Linked DNA regions of Drosophila melanogaster. The protein of the gene in region 3 purifies or fractionates together with the protein of the main gene of each other region. This does not show direct contact. Each region holds a gene or a part of one and is shown on either strand. Other genes may lie near its edges. The genes, in order: Act5C, neb and sti.

Region 1 (7,162 bases), on a different chromosome or scaffold from region 3:
ATGAGAAATATATATGATTTTATTTTTTATAAAATTTAAAGAAAAGTTCCAAAATGTCGTTTACCAATCGTCCATGTTCGAGAAGTTTGACTGTGGCAGGAAAGTTCATGCAATTTAACCAGTTCACTGAAAGTTCACGTGCCCATATTTATTAGCAGTAATTTATTTTGAAGAGTGATATAAATGAAAATGAATACTGTTATAGTACATTGGATATTTCTATACTAATAACAATAATAATATTATAAGCAATAGTTTGGTTATGGCCACAGCAGTCTAGCCACCCACTGAAATTGAGTGAAATCTGGCGAAAAGCACGCAAAAATGGCAAAAACGAAATATTCATATCTTTCGCTTTACCGCTGCGTCTGCTGCTACTTGCGCATTTTTCGACTTTTGCAGACAGGTGGGCGTAGTTACGCCCCCACGACAGGCGCAACAATGTCGGCAATGCAGTGCGATGGGCAATTAACGGAGCAATTAGCGCCATGGAATTTGGCGATTTAGCATTATTACATTAACATAAATTCGTGTTGGCATTTATGTATACGACTGATCCCGCGAAAGCAAGCACGATTAACTCCGAGTGCTGCTATATATACATACATACCTGGATTTTCATTTGGAGCGAAAGATGTTTTAATGGCCACAGTGGAGGCCAGAATACTAGCAACTTTACATATACTAGCTACACTCCGTTTCAATAGGTTCATTTGAATCCTTGATGGAGTTTTGATAATAAACACTAATAATTAGATATGAACTGGATTTTTGGTGCTAAAAATTTGAGTGGTGCTGTTCTTCAATTCTTGGCTGAGATTTCGAGATTTCTTCAAACGTTTTTTCGCCTTTTTAGCCAAACTAACCGTCCATGGCCTTGGTTTTCGGGTGCTTAACTCCCCCGACTGCAAACGCACGATCAAAACTTACGTACATCCCCTCTACCTACCTCCCTCCCTTCCTTCCACCACCGCACTTTTCCAACGTGTTTGTGCACGCAAACTAATTAAGACAAGCAATTAATGGCTGTATTTAATTTTTCCAATTGCGTTGCGATGCCGAAATGGCCAAAAACGCTGGAGTGAAAATGTATTTGCAACTTGAAGATAGCCAAAAGCGGTTAACTGCAATGCCAGCTGTTGAAATGTGAAACAAACATACATACATATGTATGTACATAGTTATAAAAATAACGCGAAAAGGGGTGGGGTGGCAACCCTGGCGGTGCGTGCACGAAAAATAATGGAAATGGAAGAAAACCAAATGAAATGCGAAAAATTTACGAAAATTTTCACATTCAATGACCTTGACAATGGCTTTGGCCCAAGTCGCTCAACTTGTTTATTTCATTTACTTCGCTTGACGTGTGTGAGCGTAGAAAACGTGACGAGTTACGTACTTTTGGAGAAAGGTCGTTGATCATGGCTAAATGTTGTTGCTTTTCGCTTAATAGCGGTCTCAAAGTCAACATCAACGCGCTGTTTTTGGCCATTTCAGTATTTCTAGTTTCGATACCCCTCACCGCCGTCCCTCCGTCGGATTCCAGCGCTTTTTCGAACTGTTTCCCTTCAAAAACAGCTTTTTTTTCTTGAATTCAGTGGCGCAAGGTTAAAAGTGCCGAAAACCGAAGCCATTGGCCCGGGGAAATTTCTGCGAGTTTTTTCATCGCCTTGCCAAAAAAAAAAAAAAACAAAAAACAAACGATCGAGCAACGAACTTGAGAGAAGCAAATAGAGCCAAAAAAAAGGTTATGATTTTGTTCCAAAGAATGTTCCATAGAATTCTATATTCTAAAAACACAAATGATACTTCTAAAAAAAAATCATATTCATAAATGACTCTTTCCATGAATGGCATCAACTCTGAATCAAATCTTTGCAGATGCACCTACTTCTCATTTCCACTGTCACATCATTTTTCCAGATCTCGCTGCCTGTTATGTGGCCCACAAACCAAGACACGTTTTATGGCCATTAAAGCTGGCTGATCGTCGCCAAACACCAAATACATAATGAATATGTACACATTCGAGAAAGAAGCGATCAAAGAAGCGTCTTCGGGCGGAGTAGGAGAATGCGGAGGAGAAGGAGAACGAGCTGATCTAGTATCTCTCCACAATCCAATGCCAACTGACCAACTGGCCATATTCGGAGCAATTTGAAGCCAATTTCCATCGCCTGGCGATCGCTCCATTCTTGGCTATATGTTTTTCACCGTTACCCGGGGCCATTTTCAAAGACTCGTCGGCAAGATAAGATTGTGTCACTCGCTGTCTCTCTTCATTTGTCGAAGAATGCTGAGGAATTTCGCGATGACGTCGGCGAGTATTTTGAAGAATGAGAATAATTTGTATTTATACGAAAATCAGTTAGTGGAATTTTCTACAAAAACATGTTATCTATAGATAATTTTGTTGCAAAATATGTTGACTATGACAAAGAACTGGAATTAAGTGGCATATTTTGCATTGCTTTCCGATAATAGTTGTATTTTTATAAAGTAAAGCGTTTGTAAAATAAATACCTTTAATGTATTCTCATTTTCTTATGTATTTATAATGGCAATGATGATACTGATGATATTTTAAGATGATGCCAGACCAAAAGGCTTGAATTTCTGCGTCTTTTGCCGAACGCAGTGCATGTGCAATTGTTGTTTTTTGGAATATTCAATTTTCGGACTGTCCGCTTTGATTTCAGTTTCTTGGCTTATTCAAAAAGCAAAGTAAAGCCAAAAAAGCGAGATGGCAATACCAAATGCGGCAAAACGGTAGTGGAAGGAAAGGGGTGCGGGGCAGCGGAAGGAAGGGTGGGGCGGGGCGTGGCGGGGTCTGTGGCTGGGCGCGACGTCACCGACGTTGGAGCCACTCCTTTGACCATGTGTGCGTGTGTGTATTATTCGTGTCTCGCCACTCGCCGGTTGTTTTTTTCTTTTTATGCTGCGCTCTCTCTAGCGCCATCTCGCTTACGCATGCTCAACGCACCGCATGTTGCCGTTTCCTTTTATGCGTCATTTTGGCTCGAAATAGGCAATTATTTAAACAAAGATTAGTCAACGAAAACGCTAAAATAAATAAGTCTACAATATGGTTACTTATTGCCATGTGTGTGCAGCCAACGATAGCAACAAAAGCAACAACACAGGTGGCTTTCCCTCTTTCACTTTTTGTTTGCAAGCCGCGTGCGAGCAAGACGGCACGACCGGCAAACGCAATTACGCTGACAAAGAGCAGACGAAGTTTTGGCGAAAAACATCAAGGCGCCTGATACGAATGCATTTGCAATAACAATTGCGATATTTAATATTGTTTATGAAGCTGTTTGACTTCAAAACACACAAAAAAAAAAATAAAACAAATTATTTGAAAGAGAATTAGGAATCGGACGCTTATCGTTAGGGTAACAACAAGAAATGCTTACTGAGTCACAGCCTCTGGAAAACTGCCGCAAGCCAGAGAGAGAGAGAAAAAGAGGGAGAGCAGCTTAGACCGCATGTGCTTGTGTGTGAGGCGTCTCTCTCTTCGTCTCTGTTGCGCAAACGCATAGACTGCACTGAAAAAATCGATTACCTATTTTTTATGAATGAATATTTGCACTATTACTATTCAAAACTATTAAGATAGCAATCACATTCAATAGCCAAATACTATACCACCTGAGCGATGCAACGAAATGATCAATTTGAGCAAAAATGCTGCATATTTAGGACGGCATCATTATAGAAATGCTTCTTGCTGTGTACTTTTCTCTCGTCTGGCAGCTGTTTCGCCGTTATTGTTAAAACCGGCTTAAGTTAGGTGTGTTTTCTACGACTAGTGAATGCCCTACTAGAAGATGTGTGTTGCACAAAATGTCCCTGGAATAACCAATTTGAAGTGCAGATAGCAGTAAACGTAAGCTAATATGAATATTATTTAACTGTAATGTTTTAATATCGCTGGACATTACTAATAAACCCACTATAAACACATGTACATATGTATGTTTTGGCATACAATGAGTAGTTGGGGAAAAAATGTGTAAAAGCACCGTGACCATCACAGCATAAAGATAACCAGCTGAAGTATCGAATATGAGTAACCCCCAAATTGAATCACATGCCGCAACTGATAGGACCCATGGAAGTACACTCTTCATGGCGATATACAAGACACACACAAGCACGAACACCCAGTTGCGGAGGAAATTCTCCGTAAATGAAAACCCAATCGGCGAACAATTCATACCCATATATGGTAAAAGTTTTGAACGCGACTTGAGAGCGGAGAGCATTGCGGCTGATAAGGTTTTAGCGCTAAGCGGGCTTTATAAAACGGGCTGCGGGACCAGTTTTCATATCACTACCGTTTGAGTTCTTGTGCTGTGTGGATACTCCTCCCGACACAAAGCCGCTCCATCAGCCAGCAGTCGTCTAATCCAGAGACACCAAACCGAAAGACTTAATTTATATTTATTTAATTAATTTTAATAAAACACACCAAATGTAAGTAGCTTTCCCCTTCCCAACAACAAAACACCATCGAACCACTCCCACCAAGAAAAAGCAATAATCGAGAAAAGCCGCGGAAAATGTGTGATTTTTTTTGTAAACAAAACATTTTTTTATGTGCCAGTGCTGAAAGTGATCAAAAAATACTAGCCACGAGCTAAAGAGTTATTGTATTGACCAAAACTCCAAAAATACCCAAGTTTGGCCCTAAATTGTCAATCAAAATACCAATAGGTCGAAAGACATCAAAATTAACAAAACCAGGGTTTCAAATACCATAACTCAAGAATCAGGATTACAACTGCAGATTTCAGGATATATACATACAAATTATACGAAATTATAAAAACCAAAGCAATTCAATAGCCCCAACTCAAATGTTAGGATCTAATATAGTGTTTAAAGCCAAGCTCGCTGATGTGGGCGTGTCACGATTTCACCCAAAGATATGCCAAATTACGAATTGCAAATCAATTCGCCAACACTTTCTTTTTTTCCCACGCCCTAAAACACCAGATCATCCATAAATGTACATACATACAGTATATGCATATTATAATCTGTAAAACTAGATCAGGTTCTTGAAAATAGTGACGTAGGCAGCCGTTTTGGCTGAAGCAGAAATTTTTGCCGGTTTTTCAAAGTTGTAGTTGCAAAAATGGAGAAAACCTTCGAGCATTCGTTCATATACACACACTCACGCGCAAAATAACGAGAGAGAGTGTATGTGTGTGTGAGAGAGCGAAAGCCAGACGACGGTTTGCTTTTCGCCTCGAAACATGACCATATATGGTCACAAAACTTGGCCGCCGCAATTCAACACACCAGCGCTCTCCTTCGCACCCATAGCGACCATGGCGCGGAGCGAGCGAGATGGCGAGAGCGAGCGACGCCTATGGCGACGTCGACGCAGGCAGCGATTGAAAAACGCAGTTAACTGGCATTCAACATTCACCAGCCACTTTCAGTCGGTTTATTCCAGTCATTCCTTTCAAACCGTGCGGTCGCTTAGCTCAGCCTCGCCACTTGCGTTTACAGTAGTTTTCACGCCTTGAATTTGTTAAATCGAACAAAAAGGTAAAGTTTAACTAGCTTTGAAAAGTTTCGTGGCTCTTAATTGTTAAATTTTCTAGAGTGCGTTTAGTGTTTTTTTTTTTTTTTATTTTGTAATGTTAATTTCGGGTTCCAATTCGAGTTTTAGGCAGCCGCCATTTTAAGGGCGCATACACACAGGCAACTGTGCTCTCTTTGCGGCTTTCTTTTGCACCGGCATTCGTTAAGTGTCGTCTAGAAGCTTCTCCCCTCCCTTTTCGGCATATTCGTATTGTGGTTTTAATTTTTCGGGGCGGGGCCTTCTATTTTGTAACTGTTCTTTTAATTTCTTATTACAATTCGATCGCAAGTGAAAATCAGTTTTCAATCGGAAAAGTATTTTTTTATGAAATTTTTTTTGTCCAAGATTAAAATTTTGTACTAAAAAAACGTACATTGCATTGAGTGATTTTTAATTGTACACGAAAAACAAGTTAGTTTGTTATGACAATTGTACTTTGGTAGACCAGCGCAGTCCAAGGAAACCACGCAAATTCTCAGTTTTTTTTTTGCCATTTCTACATTACCAAATAAGGTAACCAAAAACTAATGGGAAATCCGCATTCTTTCCATTGCAGCTTACAAAATGTGTGACGAAGAAGTTGCTGCTCTGGTTGTCGACAACGGCTCTGGCATGTGCAAGGCCGGATTTGCCGGAGACGATGCTCCCCGCGCCGTCTTCCCATCGATTGTGGGACGTCCCCGTCACCAGGGTGTGATGGTCGGCATGGGCCAGAAGGACTCGTACGTGGGTGATGAGGCGCAGAGCAAGCGTGGTATCCTCACCCTGAAGTACCCCATTGAGCACGGTATCGTGACCAACTGGGACGATATGGAGAAGATCTGGCACCACACCTTCTACAATGAGCTGCGTGTGGCACCCGAGGAGCACCCCGTGCTGCTGACCGAGGCCCCGCTGAACCCCAAGGCCAACCGTGAGAAGATGACCCAGATCATGTTCGAGACCTTCAACACACCCGCCATGTATGTGGCCATCCAGGCTGTGCTCTCGCTGTACGCCTCCGGTCGTACCACCGGTATCGTTCTGGACTCCGGCGATGGTGTCTCCCACACCGTGCCCATCTACGAGGGTTATGCCCTTCCCCATGCCATCCTGCGTCTGGATCTGGCTGGTCGCGATTTGACCGACTACCTGATGAAGATCCTGACCGAGCGCGGTTACTCTTTCACCACCACCGCTGAGCGTGAAATCGTCCGTGACATCAAGGAGAAGCTGTGCTATGTTGCCCTCGACTTTGAGCAGGAGATGGCCACCGCTGCCAGCAGCTCCTCGTTGGAGAAGTCCTACGAGCTGCCCGACGGACAGGTGATCACCATCGGCAACGAGCGTTTCCGCTGCCCCGAGGCCCTGTTCCAGCCCTCGTTCTTGGGAATGGAGGCTTGCGGCATCCACGAGACCACCTACAACTCCATCATGAAGTGTGATGTGGATATCCGTAAGGATCTGTATGCCAACACCGTGCTGTCCGGTGGCACCACCATGTACCCTGGCATCGCCGACCGTATGCAGAAGGAGATCACCGCCCTGGCACCGTCGACCATGAAGATCAAGATCATTGCC
Region 2 (7,162 bases), on a different chromosome or scaffold from region 3:
CGGCTGATATATAAAAAAAAAACACAACAAAACCCCCCTCCTTTTAAAGGGGTGAAAACAACTAGTAACAATCAACATACAAACCCTAAATCTAAACCATCTAAATCTTTCAATGATTTTAAAGATGGATTGGGCAACCACAATCTGGTGCGTTTCGTCACTACGCTGGCTGCGAGAGTCCCCTACGGACCTACGACGCCATTCCAAGAAATATTTGTCTTCACCTTTTATGGCAAAGGCCGCGTACGGAAATAAATCATGTGAGCCATTTTATGGGCCGTACTACCGTAACGAAAAGCAAAGTGGACACTGGACACTAAATAACACTCAGTGGAACGGGTTTCGGGAAAAAAGACAAGTGTTTGGACTTTCGATCAAGAGCCTCTCACTTGTGGGCGCCATGTAATTACTCATTGAATGCAGTCGAATGATTATAAATTACGTCGCAAATGTCGAGTGCGCCTTTTTTTAGAAGCCAGATACTTGTATTATATAAAACCCTCACTTTCGGATTAACTAGCCTGGTAATATTCCAACAATCAAGTTATTACGAACGTGTGGCGTTCGCTTAAGAGCAGTTGTTAACTTAAAATGCACACATAAGTATGTTACATTGATTGCTAAAGAAAACGCAGTCGTTACTCAATTCAAACAATCGTGAAACAAGTAGCTAATATGTTAACTAATGCACAACATTCAAGTCTCATGACAAGTTTATAACAATTTTCCTGCTAATGCTATGTAAGCATTTGCTGAGGTTTTATAACAAAATAATTATATTACCCGGGTGAAGACACTGCTATCTTTTTATTCGCGTTCTTAAAATAAATTTCTAGAAAGTTTACACGTGCGCCTTTGTATCAGGTCATAAATTTTATGGTCACATAGGAAAAGCAACAACAATAGATTAAATAGATATGATAAGAGGCCAAAATTTTAATCACTCAATTGATTGAGGTGCGGGAGGTCTTTGATTTGGTAGACCTTAATAAAAGGCTTTCCTATCGAAAATGATAAGGAAATAATAATAATAAAAAATACACTAAGTCTGCTGGCAATCTTAGCAAACAAAATAAACAAACGAATGATAACAAGGTTCGAGTTTAGAACTCGAGATCTCTCATATTTAGTCCTATAAAGCGCAGATAAACTCAATCTAATCTCTGGCTGATGTTGTCGTCTTCTTTTCCTTGTTTTTTTCGGACAATTTGACGCTTTATTTTAATTAAAGTAATTAGCACCCCAGTTAATTGATAGAGCCAACATAAATCTGTCTAGCAGCTGCTCCTCGCAGTGCAGACATCATTAAAACAGAATTCGCGTGTCGCGCGAGTCGAGATGATATCTCTGTAGACAGTGGGCTTCATAGCTCATCACGAGATCTGTTGAAAAGACGAATATCTGCCAGCCAGTTAAGTAAACATTTGACCGTACGAACATTTTGTGGGTACTTTCCGCAGGGGTCAACGTGTCATTTGCATGTTGCAGTGCAGTTCTACGTACTGATTGCTTTCCGGGTAATTACTGATTGCAAGGGGACCCCATTCCGTGGGCCACTGCCTAATCGAAGCGAAAGTGTTGATAAGCAATCCTATCGGTGGTGGCAAAAGTGCGGAAAGCATTGCGAATATACATATGCATTTATATTGAAGACATGAGGTTATAAGGTTTTACTGAGCTGAACTTATTCGAAACACATACTTAGCAATCACTTCTGGGTACAATTATTGATTTCAAAAACCAAGGGGATAAGAAAGAGTTATCATTAGCCGAAAGTAGACCAACCTACTGACCCGGTTGATAAGTACAAACGCAGCTAAGAACTATTTCGTAACACTTACCCGCAACAGCCAGGTGAGCACGCTCTCGCGATAGGGAACGAAGGTGCTGGGCGTCCCAGAGCCCAGGGGTCCATTGGCGATCGCCTTGCGGGAATCGGCGAGAGCAGCAATTACTTTCCCCAGCGTCAGCAGGCTCTTGTTGATGCTGACGCCCTCGCGGATCCGCTCGCCGTTCGATCCGGAGACGCTAATGCGTTCGCTGCCCGCCAGGTCCACCAGGCTAATCTTGCTGCGCCGCGTCTGCCGCAGGGAGGAGGCCGTGCTCGAGTCCGTATCCGAGGACAGGCCATCGTCACTGCTCAGATCGGTGAGGTTTAGGACAATGTTGAAGATGGAGTGTGAGCGCGAGCTCTTGTCGTTCATGGCCGTGGAGGCAGTGGCCCGCTGGGAGTTGCCCACGGCAAGCCAGTTGCGGAGTGCCGAGTACGAGTCCACCGAGTGGGCACTCAAGTCCACTACGTAGGGCCCGAAGATGGGATGCTCCCTGACCTTTAGAGCCGGACGCTGCTGCTGTTGTTGCTGCTGGATGGGCGTGGATTCCCCGGTGGCAGCTGCCGCATGCTGGACACTCAGCAGATCGTGTATCTTCTCGTTGTAGATCTCAAAGTAGCTGACCTCCACCTCCACCTGCAGCTGCTGCTGACTTTTCACAGCCTCTATGCGGCGGAATAGCTCGTGGCAGAAGCGTGGAATGATGCCCGCCTCATCGTGCGGCGGTCCGCCATCCAGAGCGGCGTCATCCAATGCTTCAATGCCCATCATGCTGTACGATTTGCCCGAGCCCGTCTGGCCGTAGGCAAACAAGCAGGCATTGTAGCCCTCGAAGGCAGTGTCGATCAAGGGACGCGCTGTGCCCTCAAAGACTTTGGCCTGGCAGGCGAAGTTCTTTCGTTCGGGATCGCACGAGTAGTAGACCTGGTCGTAGCTGAAGAAGTGCGTCACGCCGGCGGAGGCATCAGCACTGCTGCCCGCTTGGACAGTCAGCTCGTTGCTGTTTCCGTGCACCTGGACCACATTGGTGACCTGACCACGTGTGCATTCCAGGGCATTCAGTGGCCGCACTCGCACCGCCACAATCATGTTGCTCTCCTCGGACACGCTGAGGCAGGACTCCATCAGAGAGTCCCGCTCCTTTGTCCTGCTGCAGCTGGATTTCCCGGTGCCGGGCGTCTTTGCTCTTCCAGGAGTAGAGTTCGCATTCCTGTACAGCGACGAGGGTGTGTAGCAGGCATTCAGGGCCGTGGGCTTGGGCTTCGGCTGTGGCGTGCTCCCGCTGAATGCAGTGTTCAGCAGCTGTTCGGGACGATCCCGGTGCTCCCGATCCTCCGCCCGCGTCATCAGCACCTTCTTGCGCATCTCGGATGCCGGCGTGGATTTGTGGACTCCTCGCGTCTGGAACTGCTGGATGCGCTGCCGCACCGGAGTGCTCTTGTTGCTCATGTCTAGATTATTATTTAGGTATCTCTGCTCGTTTTTTAAATAACGCCGAAGAGTTTCGAATTATTGCGCGGCGTCGTTTGTTATTTTTTTTCTAGTGAAGGGCGGCGATCGATAGCAAAGCAGGGTTGATTACAGTGAGCGGCGTGAGGTCCGGCAACGCCACCACGAGCCAGGGATGAACAGCACTTACATACTCTGTTAGCTAACTCTGTTAATCAGCTCATTTAAATTATGAGATAATTGACAAAGAACTAACATGAAATAAATAAATATATAGCGAAATTGTAATAGTGTAAGGATTTCTACCCATACAATAGTCTATTTGTGCAGTTGTAAATCACTGAGAACAGTTGTGGCGGCAAACTGCTCAGCTCTGGCCGATAACCGATACGCGCTGCCTTGTTATCGGGAGCAGCTGTTGACGAGCAACGTAGACAAAAGTAAATATTATTGAAAATCCATAGCAATTAAAGGTGAGTTCCTTGCTGAATTGAGTTTGTTACCATGGCTATAGCATACCACACCCTGTCTTTGCAGCACGCATAGGCACTTGCAACAGAAAACGAGGGAACATCAATCGCTAATCAGCTGCAATTAGCCGCACTCGAAAAGTTCAGAGAAACTAGTTCCGAGCGTGTTGATATCGCAGTCGCCGCATTTGTGGCTTATATTTCCTTGTTCCCTCGATCCAAGTACCATATAAATAAGCGCGGCTCAAAAGCAGGTTTTGCATTCATTGTAAAACATTGCCAAAGCGCGCAGCTGATCAGCCGCATATATAAATCCACATCCAGATACAGATCCAGATATATAGTATAAATCGGACTTGAAATGTCGCAGCAACCTGTTGCCTTTTTAACCCGTCGCGAAACTTTCAGCGCCTGCCATCGTCTCCATAGGTAATTAGATTGAATCAAATTGAATCATTCAATTGCCTGATTCAATCACGGCTGGCAAACCAATTCAGTTCGATTTAAATTGATTGCTGCATCTATTTTCTCTTCAGTCCCCAATTGAGCGACGCCGAGAATCTGGAAGTCTTCGGCAAGTGCAACAATTTCCACGGCCACGGACACAACTATACAGGTAAAAAAAAAAATACCCCTTAAATACACTTAGTCGCATGATTACCTGCAAAGTGCCACACTTATTATCACATAACCCCGGCTCAATCAGGCTTAACCCCCTACTAAACTGGTAATTTGAGCCCAAAGTGGTGCCTAACCATAGCAAAACCTTGGCCGACAAGCTCGCTTATCAAAACCATATTCAAGTTCAACGCTCAAAGGCAATCAATATGTTGACTGGCGACCGAGAATTGATAATGAATAATGGTTCTGAACGAGCATAAAGTGTCGCAAGTGCTCAACTGATTAGAAATTTGGATTATATTTAGATTGTCAATAGCTAAACCTTAAGAACTCAAGCTTGACTCGATGCCGATTATACCAAATTATACCAAAAAATGTGTGAATAGACTACGAAAGATGTTCTTTTATAATCCTTTGTGATCTTTTCAGTTGAGATAACCGTCCGTGGTCCCATCGATCGGCGAACCGGAATGGTGCTAAACATCACCGAGCTGAAAGAGGCTATAGAAACTGTGATTATGAAGCGCCTGGACCACAAGAATCTCGATAAGGATGTCGAATACTTTGCCAATACAGTAAATAACCAGCAAGCACAACACAACTTACCGTACTTATCCTTTATATCTATCCCCCCCAGCCAAGCACCACAGAAAACTTGGCCGTTTACATCTGGGACAACATCCGTCTGCAGCTGAAGAAGCCGGAGCTGCTGTACGAGGTGAAGATCCATGAGACCCCAAAGAACATTATCAGCTACCGCGGCCCGTATCCGCTCAATGGCATCTACAACCCCATCAACAAACGCATCGCTCACGATTCGTGCACCAACATCTCGTCGGATTCGGATTGAACATTCGAAGATTGTGACATCGCCTAACGAATTTTTTGATTGGACCAATGATCAGCGAAGACTCAGCCAACCTCTTAAGCACGCGCGTAGAAAAGGACACTTACCATGTAAGGGAATGAAAAGTTATACGAATTACACAGTATGTAGGAGTAAAATATGTTAATGCAACATAATATTGAATAAAACAAAGGCAACTGAAATACTATTCTTTATTGCGATTAAACAAGAGAGCTTGCATTCCTAACACAGTATATTTGTCGACATTCGTTTAGCCTAAGTAAATCATACATACTTCCTAAACTATCGCTCCATATGGCATCTATACATAATTTGGTTTCCGCGATGAGCAGGCGAGCTTTGTAGTTAATAAATAATTTAGTTGTTCCACCTTCTGCAACTCTAACTTATATCACGCTGTGTATGTCTCTGTTTGGAGAAGGCTCTCCACCCGATTTCTTGCCTTAGTTCTTTCGGTGCTTGTAGTCATAGTCATAGTCCTGCATGTACAGACTGCAGTAGACGAGCCAATCTTTCGAATCTGTGGAATCAGCAAGGTAGCGGGTTGAATGATTTGGATTGCATAATACTTTGAGCAACGATCTCTACTTTGTTTAGTGTTTTAGTTGTGGTTACTGCTACATGCTAGTAGATTTCCAATCCAGAATAAGTGTAGGTGTTAGTTGGTTAGTTTGCGTAAATTAGACAATTAACAAATTCAGGTACTGACAACCTAATACGATTTTTTGTCTCTTTGGGAAAGCGTAGGAACCATTTGTTCTGGAAGTCATGGGATGAATTAGTTCATAACATATCACAGTCTGATGGTAACTCATACTCATAGAACGGGTTAGAAGACTTTGATTAAACTCATTTTAGGGGATAGACGGAACAATAAACATCATTTAGATATGTCTTTCTACAATAGTTCCACGGAGCAATCGCCCATTCATTTATGGACTAAGCAGGGCGCTACTATTATTGTTTTAGGCCCAAGTGTTCAGGTGCACCGAATCTTAAGGCGTTAACAGACTTATCTCTTTTGGGTACAACCGCGAATCCGATTCGTTTGCTTAATATAAATACATCTATGGCTAATAAACTGTTTCAACTATATAAAAAGTGTGCGCTACAATTACGTTGCCGCAATTTTACAATAATTGTGTATGGTTTTAAAGCATGTACGATATTATCGCTTGGTCTTTGGTCACTTCTCTGCCAGCTCTCCATTCCGGCGCAATCGTCCTTAGATGGTGTTGCGCAGAGCCTTACCTGGATTCCGGATCGAAATGAAGGGTATCCCGAACTCGAACTCGTTCTTTGGCCAGTACTTCAGCAGCGGCTGTCGCTGGGGCAGCTCCGATTCCACGTAGAAGTAGGCGAAAAGCACCAGCACCGTGTAGGCGGCTATAAAAATGAATATGTGCCAGAAGCCGTGCAGGTATGGAAAATTGATCGAGGACCAGGCCTCGCAGAAGATCCGGTCATTGATCCAGCAGAACACCGCAACAGCCCAGACGGTCGTCGATCGGATGCCCAGGCGGTAGACCCTCTGGTCACTAACTCTGTATGAACAAAGATATATATGGGTATTAATAAGTTGTTATATTTCGAAATAATTCGAAAAGAAACGCTCATGCTTTTCGTGTTAAATTAGCCAAGCGTTGTGAATGCAATTATTAAACGAGACTTTCGGTCCGCCAATGAAAATGCTGCAGTCAAAGGTGATCATGACGCTGTCGCGTAAGGACTTTCAAGCCCTTTTAATCGTAATATGCTTTGGTTTTTGGATCGAGAACCTTGTTCAGGGCGCAGATGATTACTATGTATATAGTCCGGTGTGCCAGATGCCCGCCGTGAATCCCTTCACGTGGGACACAATGAGTAATTTCCACAGAAAGACGCTAAGGCATTGCCACAACGACAGCGACATGGTAACGAGT
Region 3 (7,162 bases):
GCAGCATTGTTGGCCGCCTTCAGCGCAGCAGCCGTGTTGCCATTGGTGATGTTTGGCATTCCGTTTCCGCCACGACCGCCGCCGTTGTTGCGATTGTTGCTCCTGTTTCGGAAGTTTCCGCCGCCGCCACCCATGCGATAATTGTTCCTGTTGTAGCCTGGCGCTCCTCCATATCCCGAGTTAATGCCGCCGTTGCCATTATTGTTGTAGTATTGGTTGCGTCCGCGGTAACTGCTTGGAATACATTCAGTTGATGAGCCACACTGCATTTGCTTGATTGCTTCGATTGGACTTACCTGCCACGTCGTGTGGAGGACACTCCGAAGGTCTCCGTGTTCAACTTGCGCTCCTGGCGCCAATCGTTCTTCTTGTTCTTGCTGCGATCCTGGGCAGCCTCGCACGAGATGTTGTCGAAGAACGATTTGGTCTTGTCGTAGCACACAGCAACATCATCCTCCTCAGGCTCGTGCTCTCCAGCGCCGGTCTCGTTGCCAGAATCATCCTTCTTGTCGGTCTCGCCATTCAGCTGCAAGCAGATGATGCAAATAGTGAGTAACTCTTAAAACGATCGTATAGAAAATGTTACTTAAACTGAACTTAAACAAGCAATAAATAAAGAAGAAGATTTACCTTATTTGTTAATAAACTGCTCTTATTCATTTAGAACTAATTTGTAGTGTATAAAAATAAAAAGTGTATGTGGACTTACTGTGTGAACGCCTTCAACCTTCTCACCCACCTGCTCATTGGTTGCAGTTGCAGTGGCGGCCGTTGCATTGGTGGCTGGCTTGGGTGCACCATCCTCGGCCACCTTGAGCTTGGCCAGTTGGGAGCGCAGTTCCTCGAACTTGTTGTTTGCCTGCTCGAAATCGAAGTCGCCCTCGAACTTGATCTTGTTCCGCGGCTTGTTCTGATTATTGGCCGACTGCGGACGATAGCCCTGCAAAATGTGAAAGCCAGGGTTTAATAAACCATCTATAGCAGTGTGAGTCACCAGCAGGTGTACCTGATTGGGTCGCATGGGGCCGCGGGATCCCATGCCGCGGTTGCGCATGTTCATCATGTTGTTCGAGTTCTGGTTGCCGCGATGCATGTTCCAGGCCGGGTTGTTTCCACCTCCGTTTCCACCGCCGCCGCCGCTGCCGCCGTTTCCTCCTCGCTGCTGCTGTTGCATTCCGTTGCCGCCGCCGCGATTGCGCTGATTATTATTATTGTTGTTGTAGTTGTTGCTATAGTTGTTGTCCATTTGACGTCCGGAGTCCCGACGATCCCGCTGCTGGTTATAGAAGTCCGTTCCACTGCCGCCGCCTCGTTGCTGCTGCTGCTGCATATTGTTGTGGCTGGGTCCGCCACGTTGCTGATGCTGCTGATTCTGTTGCTGCTGGTGGTTCTGGCGCTTATGTCCTGCATCGCGTCCGTTGCCACCCTGGCCAGCGTTCTGTTGCTGGTGCAGCTGCTGCTGCTGAGTCAGCTCCGCCGTGGGACTCACAATCAGGCTAATGGGCGTCGTCGATCGCGAGGCACCGGCCAGCATGTCTAGAACGGAAACTGTACACATATAGAGGACGCAACGAGGACGAAAGTAAAGGAGAGAGTAATGCGTGTGGGCACCAAAAACATTAGTCCAAACAAATACTTGTGTCAAATACTTTGTATCAAAAGGTGACATTAACTATTTTAAAGGGCTGAGTAAAAGAGCGTAATTTTTAAGCATTTAAATCGACATGCTCGCTTATCGGATAAAGCCACAAAATGAACCATATCTTAAACTATTCCCGGAATTTGCGTTTTTGAAAATAGCAATCGCTTTTTAGCAGGAAACGAATTTTGATTTAAGATCACAAATGAGAAGTTCTACTTGTGTGCAATGTAATTTTAGTAATGTGTGGTCTACACCAACTCACTTGGCTGTTTCTGCTGCTGGGGCTTCGGTTGCTGCTGATTGCCACCGATGTGCATGAAGGGTCCGCTGCCCGGAGCACCGGAACCGGGTGCAAGCGATCCGCCCGCATTGCCCACCATGTTGGCCAGATTGGGACCGCCGAGGTTGCCGAACGGATTGCCATTGCCGTAGCCGGGTCCGCCGCCGCCAGGAGCTCCTGCTCCACCAGCACCACCACTGCCTCCACCGCTTGGCATTTGGGGCGGTTGCTGCGACGGCACCTGTTGCTGCTGCGGCGGACCGCTCATCCCGCTGGGCATGGGGAAGTGCTGCGGCATCTGGGGCGGTCCGTTCTGGAGCTGCGCCTGCATGATCGCCGGGTCATTGTGGTGCGGCAGCGTGTGGTTGTTGACAACGCGAATGTCCTTGATGTCCGAGCCACGGAATAGGATGTAGTCGTAGATCTGCGATTGCGGCGCTATCTGGAACTGGGTGTCCCGATCTTCTGTACCGAAGGATCGCACTGAAAAAGAAAAGAGGGTTAAAATGAATTGAGTTATAATATTAAATCGTATAAAGAGTACAATAGTGAACATTTTTTCCGTAAAGTTTTCTTATCCCAGCCGCCATTTTTATTCCATTGCTTTAAGAAAGATCTTTCACAAAACTAAACTTTTAAATTTTTAAATTTTTCCATTGCAAATAAGCTACCTTTTTTGCTTAACCGGTATTCTAAGTCGGTTTTTAAAAGTGCTCCATCTAATAAGTGGAACTTTCCGAGCCCACATCTTTCAAGTTTATATTCCAATTGTTTTAAAATGAATGCACCGCATTATATAATGCAATTGTTCAAAAGACGAATTACTTGGATTGCGGCAAACTTGTAAACCCATTAAGGTTAGGCCGCGCTTCCAATTTAACCTCAACTGGGGAACGCATGTTTTGCCGGTATTTCTCCGCTCTCCGTTCCTCCTTTTCGACTTCCAGGGCACTGACATCCGTAACGGGAGCCCTTGGATCCCGTTATCTGGCGCCAAATCGAAATTGTATTTGCAAATAAACAAATTGCATTGGGGCCTTGCTGGTGCTCGTTACTTTGTGCGCGGGTGTATGTGTGCCAAGTAAATTGCAAAAGCAACACTGTACAACAACAACCAAAGACAAAAACAGGCCAAAGCCAACATGACAAACAAAAAGCATAAGTGGGAGAGCGAGAGACGGCTGTCGAAATGGGTAATGGAGAGAGCGGTGGCGGCAATTGCACTCACCGTCTCCACGAGTATGAAATTACTGTAAAAACTAACAAAAAGAAACGAACCAAAAGGAAAGAAAGAGTAGAGCCACCAACACAAGAGAAATGGACAGAATCCATTTTCTTTTGCGATGAACCGTTTTTTTACACGATTTTTTTTTTCTTTTTTTTTGGCGCAGATTACGGCACCCACATATGTATATCCCGTATATGTACATATATGGGCGACGTGGGCGATTTTCGTATTAAATACTTACCACTCGAGAGCGCAATGGTGCACTCCTGCGGATCCACCGTGTACAGGCGGCCCTCGTATCGAATGTCCGCCTTGGAAATGAGGCTGATTTTGGAGCCCAACTCCGGTAATCCCCCGCTCATCTTGAACTACTTCGATGCTTCACTGCGCACTCACGCCGAAAATACAAACTATTATTAAATGTTTCTGCCAACAGGCACACGAATTTCTCTGTCAAAAGCAAACAATTATAGCGAGCGCGACGACAACGATTTCTCGACGGTTTCAGTCTCTGCTCTTTTACTTTTTTTCCGTCTTTTTTTCACACGCAATTGCGTTCCAGTTCCAGGGCGAATTTGCGGCCAATCGCCTTCTAGCCGCGTTTGCTTTATCAAGCTGTGTTTTTGCACAAGTGCGACAAGCGCTTTTCCAATGTCTGTGATGCTGCACACACGGCTCCAAATGTGAAAATTGCAATTTTCGATGCACAAATCTTTGCTCCGTCCGTCTGCGAAAACCTACCCGTCGAAAATGAACGATGCATACGAGCGAGAGCCTCGACGGTGTTGGAAAGCGCGGTTGTATAGCAGCGGCGGCGGCAGCGAAATAATAATAATAACTGTTTATGTGCAAAACTGTGCAAAATATAAAAGGGGACGCTTCAAAAGGTTGCCAAAAGTAAATAAGACTATTTCATTATTTATCCGTTCTCTGTTTGCATTAAAATTCAAATTTTATCCTCTTTCACAGGGCAGCCCTACTTGCAACCCTAAATACAACTCTGGAAAGTGAGCACGCATCCCTGGCTCTTCGGCTTCCCTCGGCGCATTTTTTTCAAAGCGAAACGGCAGAAAAATGCTCTGGCATTTTACGGATTTCTAATTGTATTATTTATGTGAGAAAATTGCAAATAAAAGTGAGTCCATCATGCCACCCAAGATGGAGCCGATTAGCGTGCGCACCGCGCGTCTGAACAACCTGATTCTGGGCAAAGGAGCTGGCGTCTGTGCGAAGCCCGCTGGAAGCGCCTCCGGATCAGGTATTCCCGCCTCCACCAGGAGAAGCATTGTACCCGTGAGCACCACTAGCGCCGCCGTGGCCGAGGCCATCTGCCGCGAGGGACTCCTGGACGCCTTCTGTCTGCTGTACAACGAGTGCGACAAGGATACGCTGAAGAAGCGCGATCGCAACATCGCCGAGTTTGTCAACAAATGTGAGTCAACTGCATTGGTCAGCAGGGTTTTCGGATGGAGTATCTACCATTCTATAGAAATGGAACTCAGAAGCCACATTTTTACTTCCTCGGGTCAGAGAATCTACTTTTGCTAATCATATTCCATTATTAAAGCCCACAAAATTATTGGGAGTAGAATCTCTTATAGATTTACCTGTATGTTCCGGTTTCCCTCCTTGAAAATAGAGCTCATGCCTAGTTACCCATTATATTACTATCTAATTTCCTACTCCAGTTCGTCCCATCATAGAGGAGACCCGCAAACTCAGGGTCAACGCAGATGACTTCCTCATCAAGACGCTTATTGGCCAAGGATACTTTGGCAACGTTCACCTGGTGGTGGAGCGGCAAACCAACGACATATACGCCATGAAGAAGATCAAAAAGTCGGTGGTGACGACGTCACAAGTCAAGGAGGAGCGCGATATCATGTCCATTCGCAACTCTGAATGGCTAATCAATCTGCAGTATGCCTTTCAGGTTTGTTATTTCCACATTTTCGCATATTTCAGTACTTGAATTAACTTATCACTTAGGATAACGACAATCTGTACCTGGTCATGGAGTACATGCCCGGCGGAGACCTTCTCAGCTTGATGTCACGCCACGGCCCTTTCGATGAGGACTTGGCTCGTTTCTATCTGGCCGAGCTCACAGTGGCCCTGCACACATTGCACGAGATGGGCTATGTGCATCGGGATATAAAGCCTGAAAATATACTGATTGATCGTTTTGGCCATATTAAACTGGCTGATTTCGGTAATGCCGCTGCCTTGGATCGCGATGGCCATGTGCTGAGTTTGTCGCCGGTGGGAACACCGGATTACATAGCTCCAGAGCTGCTGCAAACCATATCCACCTACAAGCTGTCCAAGTCGATGCACGATGTGAGTAGAATTGTACGATCGCAGAGTTTGGTTTGGAAAGTTCATAGCTAAAACAAGAACTCATTTTGTAGGTCAGCTGCGATTATTGGTCCATGGGCATTATAGGATATGAGTTAATATGCGAGACAACACCTTTTCACGAGGACAATGTACACGAGACATACTCCAAGATTCTCTCCCATTGCGAGGAGAGTCACCTTAAAGAGCTCATCAGCTTTCCCGCCGACTTGAAGGTGTCTGTTAACTATAGAAATCTTATTGAGTCACTGGTCACAAATCCTTCGAAGCGATTGTCCTATGAGCGCATTAAGAATCACCCCTTCTTTAGCGAAATTCCGTGGGGTTCCATTCGCTCGCAGGTTCCACCGATTATACCAACTGTTAGGTCTGACGATGATACCTCCAATTTCGAGGACGGAATTCGTCATAAGACTCGCAGAGAACAGGGAGTTGCTAAAAAGTCCCTTACGACTAACATGAAATCGAATGATTTCAGTGGCAAGGATCTGCCATTCATTGGGTACAGTTTTGTGCACATGGAAAAGTCGGCAATTTCCGCTACCACCGATGAAAAGCTTCAGGAGAAGCTAAAGGAACTGCTGCAGAAACTGAAGACTAGAGAGAACGAGATTTCCATGCTGAAACAAGATCTTCTGCGGGCTCAGCAATCGCTGAGGAAGACCGATAACAAATCTCAGGTGGTAGCCGATGCTAAAATGGAAATTAAGAAGCTGCAACAGATTATCAAGGAGAAAACAATGGAGCTTACCACTTGCAAGACGCAAATTAAGACACTCCAAAGTTCGGCCAAAATAGACGAGGAAATGTGGTCCAAGAAGGAAGCCACTATCACCGATCTCCTTCGCCTTAATCGACAAAAGTACGAAGAAGCCAAGATCGCTTCGGAGCAACGATATGAGAAACAATTGGCGGACAAAAAGCAAGAGCTGGCATCCACGCTGCAAAAGTTAGATGCCCGTGAGTTGGAGTTCAATGCCAAGTTCGAAGAGTGCAAGCATTTGTCCATGAAGTTGCAAAACTACAAGGATATGCTGCAGCAGATCAAGGAGCAGAATCTCAAGTCCGAGACAAACCATGAGGAGCAGAGGCGCCAAATGGCCGAATTGTATGAGCAAAAGCTAACAGATCTCCGGAAAAAGGTTCGCGACTCGCAGGATACAAACCGCCGCATGACAATGGAGATAAAGGAAATACGCACCGAGCTGGACGAGTCCATATCCTCCAGCAAGTCCACCCAAGAAGCGAAGAACGCTACCGAGCGGAATATCGAAGAAATTCTGCGGCGTCTGAACGAGGAGATCGCCTCCAATAATGAGCTTCATGCGGAAAAGGTCAAACTGGAGACGAAGCTGCAGCTGAAGGAAAATGAAACTCAAGAAGTTAGAGCCGAATGTCATCGACTTGAGAGGGAATTGCAGGTAGGTGGTTATTCATCTGCATTGGTTAATTCAATCACTGCAATATTGAGTAAAAAAAAATTATATAAAAAGAAATCTTAGCAGGCTGTGAATGTTTGTGTTTTTATTTTGTGTCAAACTTAAAGTCTTAATGATTTTTAATGAAGCATATAGCTTTCGATTGAATCGATGAATATAGAAACCTAAAGATATGTAATTTGTAAATATACTTTATGAATTAATTTAAACTAGCT

Evidence for each region.
Region 1: the proteins of sti (region 3) and Act5C purify together in Drosophila melanogaster (affinity purification with western blotting, with the first as the bait; one study listed by BioGRID). This does not show direct contact.
Region 2: the proteins of sti (region 3) and neb purify together in Drosophila melanogaster (affinity purification with western blotting; one study listed by BioGRID). This does not show direct contact.

What each region holds. Positions count from the first base shown.
Region 1 is NC_004354.4:5,896,532-5,903,693, forward strand, and holds the start of Act5C (actin 5C), read left to right. Parts: upstream 1-4,329; 5' UTR 4,330-4,482; intron 4,483-5,450; exon of another isoform or gene 5,451-5,565; intron 5,566-6,158; 5' UTR 6,159-6,166; coding exon 6,167-7,162. UniProt on the Drosophila melanogaster protein: Actins are highly conserved proteins that are involved in various types of cell motility and are ubiquitously expressed in all eukaryotic cells.
Region 2 is NT_033779.5:20,071,976-20,079,137, reverse strand, and holds the start of neb (nebbish), read right to left. Parts: upstream 3,382-7,162; 5' UTR 3,282-3,381; coding exon 1,842-3,281; intron 1-1,841. Other genes in the region: pr (purple), read left to right, coding at 4,113-4,180, 4,288-4,367, 4,802-4,947, 5,010-5,222; CG10730 (uncharacterized protein), read left to right, coding at 6,950-7,162; bwa (brain washing), read right to left, coding at 5,684-5,760, 6,492-6,784.
Region 3 is NT_037436.4:12,511,802-12,518,963, reverse strand, and holds the start of sti (sticky), read left to right. Parts: upstream 1-4,148; 5' UTR 4,149-4,296; coding exon 4,297-4,582; intron 4,583-4,838; coding exon 4,839-5,083; intron 5,084-5,139; coding exon 5,140-5,502; intron 5,503-5,561; coding exon 5,562-6,929; intron 6,930-7,160; coding exon 7,161-7,162. Other genes in the region: tral (trailer hitch), read right to left, coding at 1-234, 297-526, 710-940, 1,007-1,548, 1,905-2,405, 3,392-3,512.